Linked DNA regions of Nothobranchius furzeri. Each later gene encodes a partner of the first gene's protein in a complex. Links are inferred from orthologs where the notes say so. Each region holds a gene or a part of one and is shown in the gene's direction. Other genes may lie near its edges.

Region 1 (5,836 bases):
ATTATTTGTGAAAAAGGTCAGATCTAATGTTGGACTCCTGACATTTGTTCTCAGAATTCTAACAAGAATAAACAATCAAGGATTCAATTAAAGTATAACTGTTCTTTAATGTGCTTCATAACGGTTTGATTTGCATGTATCTGAAACAACTCAAACCGTTAAGTAACTACAGCGTATCAGCCACTCGGGAAGGAAGACTCTGGCAAAGGTGAACAAACCGCTTTTGAGGCAGGGGAGATTTGCTGCATTTTTGTTGTTGAAATATAATGTTTCAACCAAGCACTGTATGCTTTTTATATTTTACAAGTGTCTTTAAAAAACATATAGTAAAAAATGTTTCTAATTCTCAAATTTTAGGGGTGCTGGGAGTTGATTTAGCGGTGTTTCAGCATCCCCAAAAATGGGCTAAAAACACCCATGGGTGATTCCTTAAGGGGGCCAATTGTAAGTTTCCGTCCTCTTTGAATATTCTCTAAAGAGTAGCAACATGGGGGCCTCACAACAACTCTCACATGAGCTGAAAACAAAGCCCTTTTTATAAGACACACCATGCTGGCAAATTGGCGTAATATTACCGCAGTGGTATGTGTATAAACGCGCCATGCCGGCATGGCGTTGCGCGAATTTTGCGGCATTCGTTCCGCCTCGCTTGGTAGTAATATTGCGGTAATGGTCTGTCGTATGCGCCCTGGCGCAACAGAGGCAGATGTCATGATGATGTGGGGAGTTATTGCTGAGCTCCGGGTTGGCAAATTTATGGAAAATGAAAGTAAACACAGGCGGTAAGGCTTGCTTTTTGAACAAAATCAGCTGAGATGGCAAACTGGAGCGCCGCAGCGCTGCATGAGCCTCTCTGTTAGAGCTGAAGCTCAAATCACCAGAGACTGCACAGGGACTGATGGGGACAGACACCTTTAGGAGCTGCTTGTTAAAAAAATGTAACGATCATGGCTTCATTCGCAATAAAAAGCAAGTTATGTCCAAGATAAACGGAAGTCTGCGGCAGCGCAGAGACCACCCCTATACCCGCTTTATGCCGCCATCACCTAATCTTTTATAAAATTGCCACGATTGCGCCACATTACTGCCACGGGCTGATCTTATAAATGATCATTATCCTCCCCAGGGAGCCGCGGCAAATCCCGTTTTGCAAACGCTCTGGTCCTGTAAAAACAGCTCATGATTGTTCACCGTCATGGTTTAGGGGAAGGATACAGAAAGCTGTCTCTAGCCCTTTTCAGATTGACATTCTGGAATATGTGTGGACAATTCAGTCTGGTTTTTAACCAGAACTGTGTTTTCAGACACACCACTTTTGTATCTGAACTTGTCCCTTCGGCTGCCTTCACACAGCAGGGAAAAGTTTCAGATGTCAGACCAGATATTGCGTAAACATAGTGCGCCGGGCGTACATGCATCATTTACCCAACCAAAGCTATTTAGTCAAACATGGCCGACGAAGAGATAGAATTCCTCTCACTGATCGGACTTATATTAAGCATAATTATGTGCACACAAAGACGCATAAGAGACCTGGATGATGAAACTCAATGGTTAAAGGAATCACGGAAGCGGTTTGAAGCGCTCCGTCGCGCGTCTAGGAGACTGTACCGTAGGAGCGCATAGGAGGCGAGCTGCCATGGTTCGCCGCATGCTACAGGAGCGAACAATCTAGGTGCGCACAGCGTCCCCCGGTCCCCTCCTCTCCCTCCTCCCTGTCCGGAACTCGACCTCACCAGTCTGAAGCAGCCACCCTGTCCATGGCGAGTCCGGTTCTGTTACTAGGGGCTTCGTCCAGTTTAATCACGGAAAAGGTTATCCGGATGTTTGTATTCAGACACAAAGGTCTTAAGGACAGAGTCCCGAACATTTCCATTTTCCATGGCCTGTCTGAAGGGGGCTTCAGAGATTTCAGCTGTCTGTTTCCACAGTTAGGAACATATTGAGGAAATAGAAGACCACAGGTACAGTTCAAGTTAAGGCTCCAAGTGGCAGAGCAAGAACAATCTCAGATAAACAGAAGTGAAGAATGGTGAGAATAGTCCGAGCCAACCCACAGACCAAAGACATACAACATCATCTTGCTGCGGATGGAGTCGATATGCATCATTCAACTATTCAGTGCACTTTACACAAGGAGATGCTGTATGTGAGAGTGATGCAGAGGAAGCCTTTTCTCTGCCCACAGCACCAACAGAGGTTTGCTAAAGCACATTTGGACAAGCCAGCTTCATTCTGGAATAAGAAAATGGTCCAGAATACCTTCAGCCTCTCTGTCTGTCTGTCTGTCTGTCTGTCTGTCTGTGTGTGTGTGTGTGTGTGTGTGTGTGTGTGTGTGTGTGTGTGTGTGTGTGTGTGTGTGTGTGTGTGTGTGTGTGTGTGTGTGTGTGTGTGTGTGTGTGTGTGTGTGTGTGTGTGTGTGTGTGTGTGTGTGTGTGTGTGTGTGTGTGTGTGTGTGTGTGTGTGTGTGTGTGTGTGTGTGTGTGTGTGTGTGTGTGTGTGTGTGTGTGTGTGTGTGTGTGTGTGTGTGTGTGTGTGTGTGTGTGTGTGTGTGTGTGTGTGTGTCTGCTCTGTCTTCTCGATCCCCAGTGAGTCGTGGTAGATGGCTGCTTATACTGAGCCAGAATTCTCTGGAGGTTTCTTCCTGTTAAAAGGGAGTTTTCCTCTTCACTGTCGCTTTATGCTTGTTTAGTATGAGGATTGCTGTAAAGTCACTGACACTAGTCAGTGACTTGATGCAATTTGCTGGGTTCCTTATATAGGAAACATTATTTCTGATTGGCTTAATGAAATGACCTGAATTTGAATGTTTATCATGTGAAGTGCCTTGAGATGACTCTTGTCGTGATTTGGCGCTATATAAATAAACTTGAATTGAATTGAATTGGAAGCTATAGGAAGTGTGTAGCTTATGCACCTGCCTAATTTTGTTTAAAAGATTATTGCACACTTTCTGTAAATCCTATAAACTTTGTTTCACTTGTCAAACACCACTGTGTGTGTCTCCTATATGACATATTCAACTGAGATTTTTTAAATTGTAATAACCAACAATTAATACAGGAAATCATGAAGATTAACGAGGCTACTGTGTGTGCGTGCGCGTGTGTGTGTGTGCACGCGCGCGAGTGATTGAGAATATATGATTTGGGAGTCTTGTGACTTCACTGACCTATCGGAATCAAGGATTCGACCATAACTGTAGACATGGTAAATGCTTTAGTCAAACCACTTGGAAATTCAAAATAATGTGTAACTCACCATTCAGAGCCTCATATCACTGACAGAATAGAGCCTTCTCCAACAACAATGGTCTTACTTTCACAATCCAACATAATAGATTGCAGAAACCATTAAAAAATTTCCTCAGATGCTCATAATCCCTGTTAGCATCCAATGTTAGCTTCTTCCCGGACCAGCAGGTGTAGGGCTACCCACTCTCTGCTGAGGCAAATTCATCAGCTATTGGCTGATAGGTTAGAAGTACTAACCCTCTGGTCTGGTGTGTAGCGTCAACGAACTATGGCTCAGTTTATGATTTATTGAAGCATCAACTAGCCAGTGAAATTTAGATAGAAGCAACGTCTCATTTGAAGACCTTGCAGCTTGCTTCTGCAAAGGGAGTAAAAACATTAGTGAATGGTGGAGCGCTCTATGCAGTGTGCCGGCCCACAGAACCTCTTAACATCTCCTGTGCCAAAATCACACGTCATCATTTATTTGGGACTGTCGAATATCGCTTGAAAATGACCCAACCTTAGTGTGTATCGGTGCATGTTTTGTTTTTAATTCATGAATGAAAAATGTATAACTACTAATGACAGATGTTGGAAAGATGAATTATTTTTGTGTAATTGTTTATTTTCATAACATTTAAAACTTACTGGTGCTTTATTTCTGCTTTTATCGGTTTAAAACCAGCTCAAGGAGCTTTACACTCTTCTCAATGAAAACTATGTGGAAGATGACGACAACATGTTCAGATTTGACTACTCTCCTGACTTCTTGCTCTGGTACAAATGAAACACTTTCAGCTTTACACTTGCAGCAAATGTTAAAGTAACTGAATATTTTTAAATGTATGTAGTTACTCATTACACTGCTTAACTGGTCTTCAAATCCGTTTCCTGCTCAGGGCCCTGCGGCCTCCAGGCTGGTTGCCTCAGTGGCATTGTGGAGTAAGAGTGAACTCCAACCAGAAGCTGGTCGGGTTTATCAGCGCTATTCCAGCCAACATCCACATCTACGACATGTAAGGAAACTCTGTAGCGTTGAGTAGACCGTTCAGGTTGTGTCTCAGTTACCTGAAAAGTGTGGAACGCTGAAAACTCATTTTTAAATCTTATTTCTGATAATAGGTCACAGTTTTTTATGCAGGCTGAACATGAAAATAATCTCCTACACCTATCTCCTGCATTAGCTTCTGATAGAAAATTGATGATGAAACTCTAGGATTTGGAAAATCCTGACAGATCTACGTCACACTGTCACTGAACATTCATGGACTCACCCATCTTGACTCACAACGAGGAAGGCTGTTGTTGGTTTAGCGTCCAGGAAACGGCAGAGAAGATCTCAGCTAGTAGAAGCTAACCGTTAGTTTTAGCATCTCCGCCACACAGCAGAACTTTGTCAGGCTTGAGTTGTTTGTGGAGATTAAACCTCAACGTTGCAGAGCAGAGTCAGTGGTAGTCACATTGCTGTTATCCAATCAGAGGTGAGATGTCCAGAAAAAAATCCTAAACCTGCCGTCTGACGCTCAGCTCTGATGCGGCTCACTTCTAGTTCCTGAATATGGTGCGCCAGAGCTCCCCCACCACCTTCCAAGTCATTCATTCCTACTCGAGACCTCTGCAAACGTATTTGTTTAATGAGTGATCCACACCTTGAAGTAGTCATGGAAGTTCTTCATAAATGTCAGTGAATATTTCACAGCATACAAGTCTGACGTAACCGTTTTCTTTTTAATGTTTGTTTTTCTTAGAGAAAAGAAAATGGTTGAGATCAACTTCCTCTGTGTCCACAAGAAGCTTCGCGCCAAGCGAGTGGCTCCAGTTCTGATCAGAGAGATCACTAGAAGGGTCAACCTGCAGGGTATCTTCCAGGCGGTGTACACTGCAGGAGTGGTGCTGCCCAAACCGGTGGGCACGTGCAGGTTTGTCTGGCAAATAAACCTTAGTTTTCATCTTTTACAGCTTTAATGATCATTAACTTCCACAGGTACTGGCATCGCTCTTTGAACCCAAGAAAACTAATTGAAGTGAAATTCTCCCACCTGAGCAGAAACATGACTATGCAGCGCACCATGAAGTTGTACCGCTTGCCAGAGGTGTGTGCAGAGAGACACAAATCTACACATGCTCCCCATTATACTTTGAACCTCCTGTTCACTGTATTTTCTCCTCCAGGCACCAAAGACTTCTGGTCTGCGACCGATGACCAAGAAGGACATCCCGGTGGTGCATCGCCTCCTCCGTGAGTACCTGAGCCAATTCAACCTGGTGCCTGTCATGAACCAAGAGGAAGTGGAACACTGGTTCCTCCCTCGGGAGAACATCATCGACACATACCTGGTGGAGGTAAAGTGTTTTAATTCAATATTCTTACAGATAAAAGAGCTTATTTTTTCATTTTTGATGTTTTCTCCATGCAGGCCGAGGGCAAAGTGACGGACTTCCTGAGTTTCTACACACTGCCATCTACTATAATGAATCACCCTGTGCACCGCAGCCTAAAAGCAGCGTATTCCTTCTACAATGTGCACACCACCACTCCCCTGATTGACTTGATGTCCGACGCCCTCATCCTTGCCAAATCGGTTTGTTTACATCTTATT
Region 2 (6,354 bases), on another chromosome or scaffold:
AATTCGATCCCTGCTCCTGGATGAAAAACCCCCGGACGCCCAGACAGAGAGTGAAAAGTGGACATGTCCGGGGAAAAGAGGACGTATGGTCACCCTAGTTTAATATAAAGCGGGAGATTACAGATACAGTATTTTGCTCGTGCCCTTGTTGGCCTGGGCCCTTTGGAGTTCGTGGGCCCCTGGGCAATTGCCCAGTTGCCCATATGGTTAATCCGGCCTTGCAGGCACTTAGCGACAGTGGAGAGGAAAACTCTTTTAACAGGGAGAAACCTCCAGCAGAACCTGGCTCTGAGCTGCTATCTGCCATCTCACGGGGGTTTGAGAAGACACACACACACACACACACACACACACACACACACACACACACACACACACACACACACACACACACACACACACACACACACACACTGATTTCTTAGATATTTCGTAACAGATAAACTTCATTGTCTTTATCTAAGTGAATCTGTAATTAATTTAACAGATGACTTGTACACTCCACCTCCCTCTACTCATCCACTCGTCCAAACCCGGGCCAATATCAGTAAGAATTTAAGCCATTTTCGATGAGATGATGAAGTTTTAAGCAATTGAGAAACTAAGTTTACAAATGAGGCTTGTGGGAAAAGGACTTGTTCTTGCATCATTGTTTTAGGAAAATAAGACACCAGTGCATGTTCAAAACTTCAAAACGATTCTTCCCATCTCTTCTAACAAGTACAGCTGAAATCAGTTTGCATCATTCTTGTTTTGCATTTTGTCCCAGTGGGAGATGCTGCATTACATAGATCAGTAATCTTAATGAAAAAATCTGAGGAACTACATCTGAAAACAGTTTTATGATGATGTTTGTGACTGAAGGGAGATAGCATTTTTGATGGAATTTTTCCAGGAAAATGTCTTCATGATTACAAAAAAAACATTTGGGCTATAGTTCAGTTTGGGAACTTTAGATTTGTACTCAAATCAGCATAAATATGTTGCAGTGAACTGTGATGTTCTCTTTGCGTTTAGTGATTGCAAAGGATAAACGCTGACTGTTGCTGCAAAATAGACTCACTTTTCATTTTATCAATTAGATGAAAATTGGAGTTGATGATCACACTTGCATAAGTGCAAATATATTTTAAACCCAGTAACGGAGACATTGCATGCCCTTGTAGCAAATTAACAAGCCTGTGGCTCAAATGACACCCCCATATATTTTTCTCATCCAATTATTAAGATCCAATTAAAAACTTGAAACAACAAACAAAATTACCAAGCTGAGTTAAGAAACCAAGCTAAAAATGTGTTTTAATTATTCTCACACCTAGGACAAATAAAAGCAAATAGAAATAGAACAATTGATAACTAATGTGACACGGATATTTCTAAGGGCAGGATGAATGGGTGGATAGATGGATGGATGGATGGATGGACAAATAGATGCATAAATGAATTGATACATGAATGGATGGATGCCCTTGCAAACAGCTAACGTCTCATGGACGTGCAAATAAGGTATTGAGTCCGTTGGTCCAGACCAATTCCGAACTATGTATTTGCACATTTGGGCATGGATGAATGAATGACGCATGGATGAACTGATGAATGCGTGGGTGCAGGGCTGGATGATGTATGCATAGGTGCATGGATGATGCACTTGTTAAGTGCAGAAATGGATGGATTTTGGATAAGATAATTACGCTTTAAACTAATTCAGGGGTGCCTGATTTAAATATATGTAAAAAAAAACTTCGGAAAGTTTTCACAAATGGGACCAGACTGGGGCCACTGAAAAAAAAAATCTGGTAACGATAAACTAGCTAAACCACCTTTTTATACTTCGCAGTGAAGACTTGATAGTAAACGTGGTGTGTGTCTGCTCTCCTTTCTCGGTATGGAAAAATGACACGTGTAAAGGCTGTGCAGGCACACAAAGAGTCTGTGTATGACCGTTGCTGGTACCGCGACGTCAGCGACTCTGTCGGGGGCCAGCAGCAGCAGCTACGTCACTCCCTGACGGCGGCACATCAGAGGAGCACTGACGGTCAGCCGGGGCTAGCAGCAGCGAGAGGCGGCGCGCGCTCGGCGGAAGAGGACAGCGGTTCACTGCTTTCTATACGCTCTGTTGTGGGTCAGCCTGGACCAAGTCCTCATACTCCAGTAGCGCAGGTAAATCCTAAAGTATTTCTTCCCGAAAGCTTGAAGCATTTTTATTTTTACGGTCAACTGGCAGCTCTGAACAGCGCGTGGGTACCAAACGTGGCGAGTGGACTAGCGAGCCTCGCATTGTCCCTGTTGTCCTGTAGCCATAAACTGCGTTGCTATGGTGCCGAAAGGCAACATCCCACCTGCTGCTGCCATCACACACACACACACACACACACACACACACACACACACACACACACACACACACACACACACACACACACACACACACACACACACACACACACACACACACACACACACACACACACACACACACACCTGTCAAACGTTTGTAAAGGAGTTTTACTGTTTATGACTTTCGGTTTCTTTAGAACCATTTAATTAACTAATTTAATGGAGTAGCCTACACTGGAAGAGTTTAGCCTCTGCAGCTTCTAGAGGTAAAAAAAAAAAAAAAAAAAAAAAAAAAACAAGTCATCTGCTTCTCAGTGTTTTTCCTTTATTTGAATTCCATTCCATCCCATTCCAATTTCCAGTAAAACCATCACAGGTTGCCAGTTTCATCCTAACTGCTGTTTTGTTTATTTTTACAGCTTCCAGGATCTAAAACGGTTGTGCAAACAAAAGATGGTGATCACCAGCGTGGCATCCCTTAGAAGGACTTTGGACAAAGAGAGCAAATGTTAGCACTGAAGGTGCAGTAGTTTTCTGCGTAGCACGTCTCAGACAGATGCTGTTGTTAGAAATCAGTGCATGCCAATACCAGGCCTGTGACACAAAGAAATTCCATTATCCCTATCTCTCTTGACTGCTGTGACAAGGAGGGAAATCACCAAGCCATTCTGTGGAGAGGCAGGGAGGGAGGGAAAATTATGAGTCAGAATGTAGGAGTAAAAAAACTGTCACTCTTCGATCTGCTTAAACTTTCTAGAGAGTGCACAATGCTTATTTTAAGAGCAGTACCAGATACCTTTTTTACTGTAGAGCAGGTATTCAAAACAGTAGAAACATGTGACACATGCTTGGTATTTATTTAGTTAATAGAATTGATGCTCTTTGAGCAAAACTAAGGCCTATTAATTGCATTTTAGTGTACTCATCTCCTTATCTCAGAATGGGGGGATTCTGTTCTGCTGTAATGTACGCTGAGCAGTAGAGATAGTGGTGGGAAAGGAGGGGTGGGTGGAGTAAAAAGAACAGTGAGCGACTGTGAGGCAGAGTGTGCTTAACCCAGCATTTGAGTGACTCTTGTATCCAAGGACGAAGGTAGCAACGCATCCGAAAGCCACTCCTCGCCCACGGACTGCTGTGAAGAAGTGAGGCGGACGCTCAGACGCTCAGTGGTGCTCAGATAGACTCAACAGCCTCACAAAACCCCTGGGGTTTGATGTCTGATGTGCCAGGGATGATGACAGTGCAGATCATGACCACAGCTAGAGTGAAGGATAGACTCACGTAGCTTGAATGGGAGTTCCCCCCCTTCTTTTTTTTCTCCATCGACACAGACCAAAACAAAATAGTGTTTTGCCTTTTAAGAAAACAGTGTCATTTGTATCCTAAATCAGCCCACGGTTGTTGCATGTTTCTGGCAGAGGAGCACACTGGAGCGAGGTAGTAACAGGTGCCGTGTCCCACAGCGATTCTGGAGGTGTGGATGAGAGCTGAAGATCATGGGAAAATCAAACAGCAAGCTCAAACCGGAGGTGGTGGAGGAGCTGACAAGGAAAACCTACTGTGAGTTTCTGCCTGTCTTTATAAAAATGATAACTTTATTAAACACTTTGTAACTTTGGTTAAATAAAGTTTAATATATGAAAATACATATATTGATGCTGCAAATTCCACCTTCTGTGACCCTCTCTACAGCCTAGAGGGATTCTTCACTCTGGTCATTATTGATAGAACAGAGCTGCAGCTAAATGTCAGGCTTATTTGATTTAAATTTACAGTTCAATGTGTAGCAAACAGATTCGTTAAGGTCAGACAGAAAGTTGGAATCAGCATATTTAAATCATGATGTGGAAACTTAAATATAAGGAATAGGCCTGCACGGAAAACCTGCGGTATTCGATAGCAATGATTAATATTGCAATGACGATATTACTTGCGATAAATAAAAACTTAACTCAAGAACAAAAATAATCAAAAACAAAGAAATAAAAAAAAATCATAAAAATGAGAAAAGCAAAGGATGTGAAGAAAGGTAAAAAGAAAATGAACAAGAAAAGACAATCAGTTGATCCCGGGAAAAGCAGAATCAGCAAAAAGAGCAGAACAAAGCTAACTCAGGTGTTTGCTAACCATCTAAATTAAGTGCTGTCCGCCTCGGGGGCGGGCATCTAACCTATGAGAACCCACCCAATTGGCCAAATGGGTAAAGAGCTCTATTTGATTTGTTAAAAAAAGCATCATGCTTCCGTTTCGTTGACAGAATGCATTATGTTTAGCAAACATTTGTGATATTTACCTGTTCTTTGCGATATGCATATTGTGCATGCTGATATTGCGATAACGATATATTTATGATATATTGTGCAGCCCTAATAAGGAACCTGAGTTTGTGTCAGCTGTCGTGTGGTTTCATGGGTTTTGCTGCAGAACTCTTCTTTGTTGGTAGATTTACTAAGTTAAATCTTTTTTAATGCTTTACTGTAAAATTATCAACATTTCTGCATAGCAGAGCTAGACAAAAACAAACAAATAAATAAATAAGTACTGCTTCTGTAACCTTTCCAACTCGTTGATACATGAAAAAGAAAATTCTCAAGTTTTTTCTATCAAAATTGAGCACATTTCACATTTATGGTTAACACCATCAGTGTCTGCTTTGAAAACTATTTTTAATCGTTTGTGTTATTTCTGGAGTGCAGCGCTGTGATTATTTGAACAGTGCAGGTGTGGGTGGGAGTTGACATCCACTGGCTGCTTAATGACAGTGTTATTTGTGTGGTTGGTCTCCACAGCAGAAGCGAGGAGGGCTGTTGTAGCAGGAAATTGCAGTGGAGGAAGATTAGGCATCATGCTGGGCTGGACCACTTGCTGCTGTCCTGTGCTTGTTGTCTTTCTCTGTTACCCTCTAACCCTGTCTCTTTTGTGTTATTCTCCTAATTGCCCTCTTTGCGTGTGGAAGGGAATAGTACAATTAGGATTTTATCTGGTTAGCTATCGCTGAGAGGGGCACCAAGCCTTTCTCTCCCTGTGCGATTACTCCGAGTCTATCATTTCTGTCGTCTTTCATCTTATTACGTCGTTCTCTTGCCCTCCCACGAGGAGCCTTGTCTGCTGTTTTAGTCAGTGCTTTCCTTTAGTTCTTGACAGATTGAGGACTTATATTTCTCCATGCCTGTATCTCTTTTCGCTTTGGTATTAGAAGAATGAGCACTTATTTATTTTCTCTGGCAAATACCCTACGTGTCAACAGACAAGCAAGAAGACCAGGCCTAAAATAAAACTCTTTATTCCAATAAGATCTTAGAAGGTGAAGTAGCTATTTATTTTTATTTTTTCAGCACCTCTTATCCAAATGTATTAAACCTAGCACTGTGTGGCGAGAAGCCACACTTATTTTAAGATGATAATGAAATACAAAGTCTGGAAAATGTTTTTGATCTAAAAAGAGCTTAGTTTGTCCAGAAGTGATTTTCTGAACGATCGCTCTGGCACTGCACAGAGAGAGCAGCAGTGCTGCTGAAACCTCTGAGGGATGGAGGGCAGATCTAAGTAAACGTGTTAATTTTGCAAGTTGTCAAGAGGCAACGACACTCACAGTGACAGAGTCACGAGCTCAGTGGACCCAGCTGGCCAAGTCCACCTTGCTCTCTCCGGTAACTAGCCAATTAGATTATTTCTATTGCCATTCACTGAGTTATATAAGATATATTTTTTCTAAATTGCAGCCTTGGTAAATTGCCTGAGTTTTATTTTTCTTTTTTGTTCTGTATCGGCTTTTTAGGCCAATTTAATGGTCGCTTAATTTAGCTGACAGTCGTGAGATCGGCTTGGCATTTATTGCCCTGGAAGTGGTCACATGAGGGGTTTCCTGATGAAAAGCTGAGCGGAGCAAATTGATATGGAAATATATTCATGCAAAAGCTGCTTGACCTGACCTCCTTATCAATAGGTTTCACAGCATTATTTTGCTTTGGCACCTCCACAGTTACAGTATTAAAAGGTTTGACTAAAACATTAAAG

Evidence for each region.
Region 2: the proteins of nmt1a (region 1) and neuronal calcium sensor 1 are in contact, whole or in part, in a crystal structure (PDB 5O9S), measured with the Homo sapiens proteins. The link is inferred for Nothobranchius furzeri from reciprocal best matches to the Homo sapiens genes NMT1 and NCS1. Residues at the interface, in NP_066565.1 of Homo sapiens: Tyr180, Val181, Glu182, Asp183, Asp184, Asp185, Met187, Phe188, Arg189, Phe190, Tyr192, Asn246, Thr282, Ala283, Gly284, Arg295, Tyr296, His298, Ser300, Lys310, Phe311, Ser312, Tyr401, Leu403, Ser405, Tyr420, Gly468, Ile469, Gly470, Asp471; in NP_055101.2 of Homo sapiens: Gly2, Lys3, Ser4, Asn5, Ser6, Lys7, Leu8, Lys9.

Annotation. Positions count from the first base shown.
Region 1 is NC_091745.1:11,800,685-11,806,520, reverse strand, and holds part of nmt1a (glycylpeptide N-tetradecanoyltransferase 1), read left to right. Parts: intron 1-3,921; coding exon 3,922-4,013; intron 4,014-4,135; coding exon 4,136-4,252; intron 4,253-4,984; coding exon 4,985-5,155; intron 5,156-5,220; coding exon 5,221-5,329; intron 5,330-5,408; coding exon 5,409-5,579; intron 5,580-5,653; coding exon 5,654-5,818; intron 5,819-5,836.
Region 2 is NC_091757.1:35,612,612-35,618,965, forward strand, and holds the start of neuronal calcium sensor 1, read left to right. Parts: upstream 1-2,020; 5' UTR 2,021-2,160; intron 2,161-2,756; 5' UTR 2,757-2,858; intron 2,859-3,755; exon of another isoform or gene 3,756-3,800; 5' UTR 3,801-3,833; coding exon 3,834-3,897; intron 3,898-6,354. UniProt on the Homo sapiens protein: Neuronal calcium sensor, regulator of G protein-coupled receptor phosphorylation in a calcium dependent manner. Directly regulates GRK1 (RHOK), but not GRK2 to GRK5. Can substitute for calmodulin. Stimulates PI4KB kinase activity.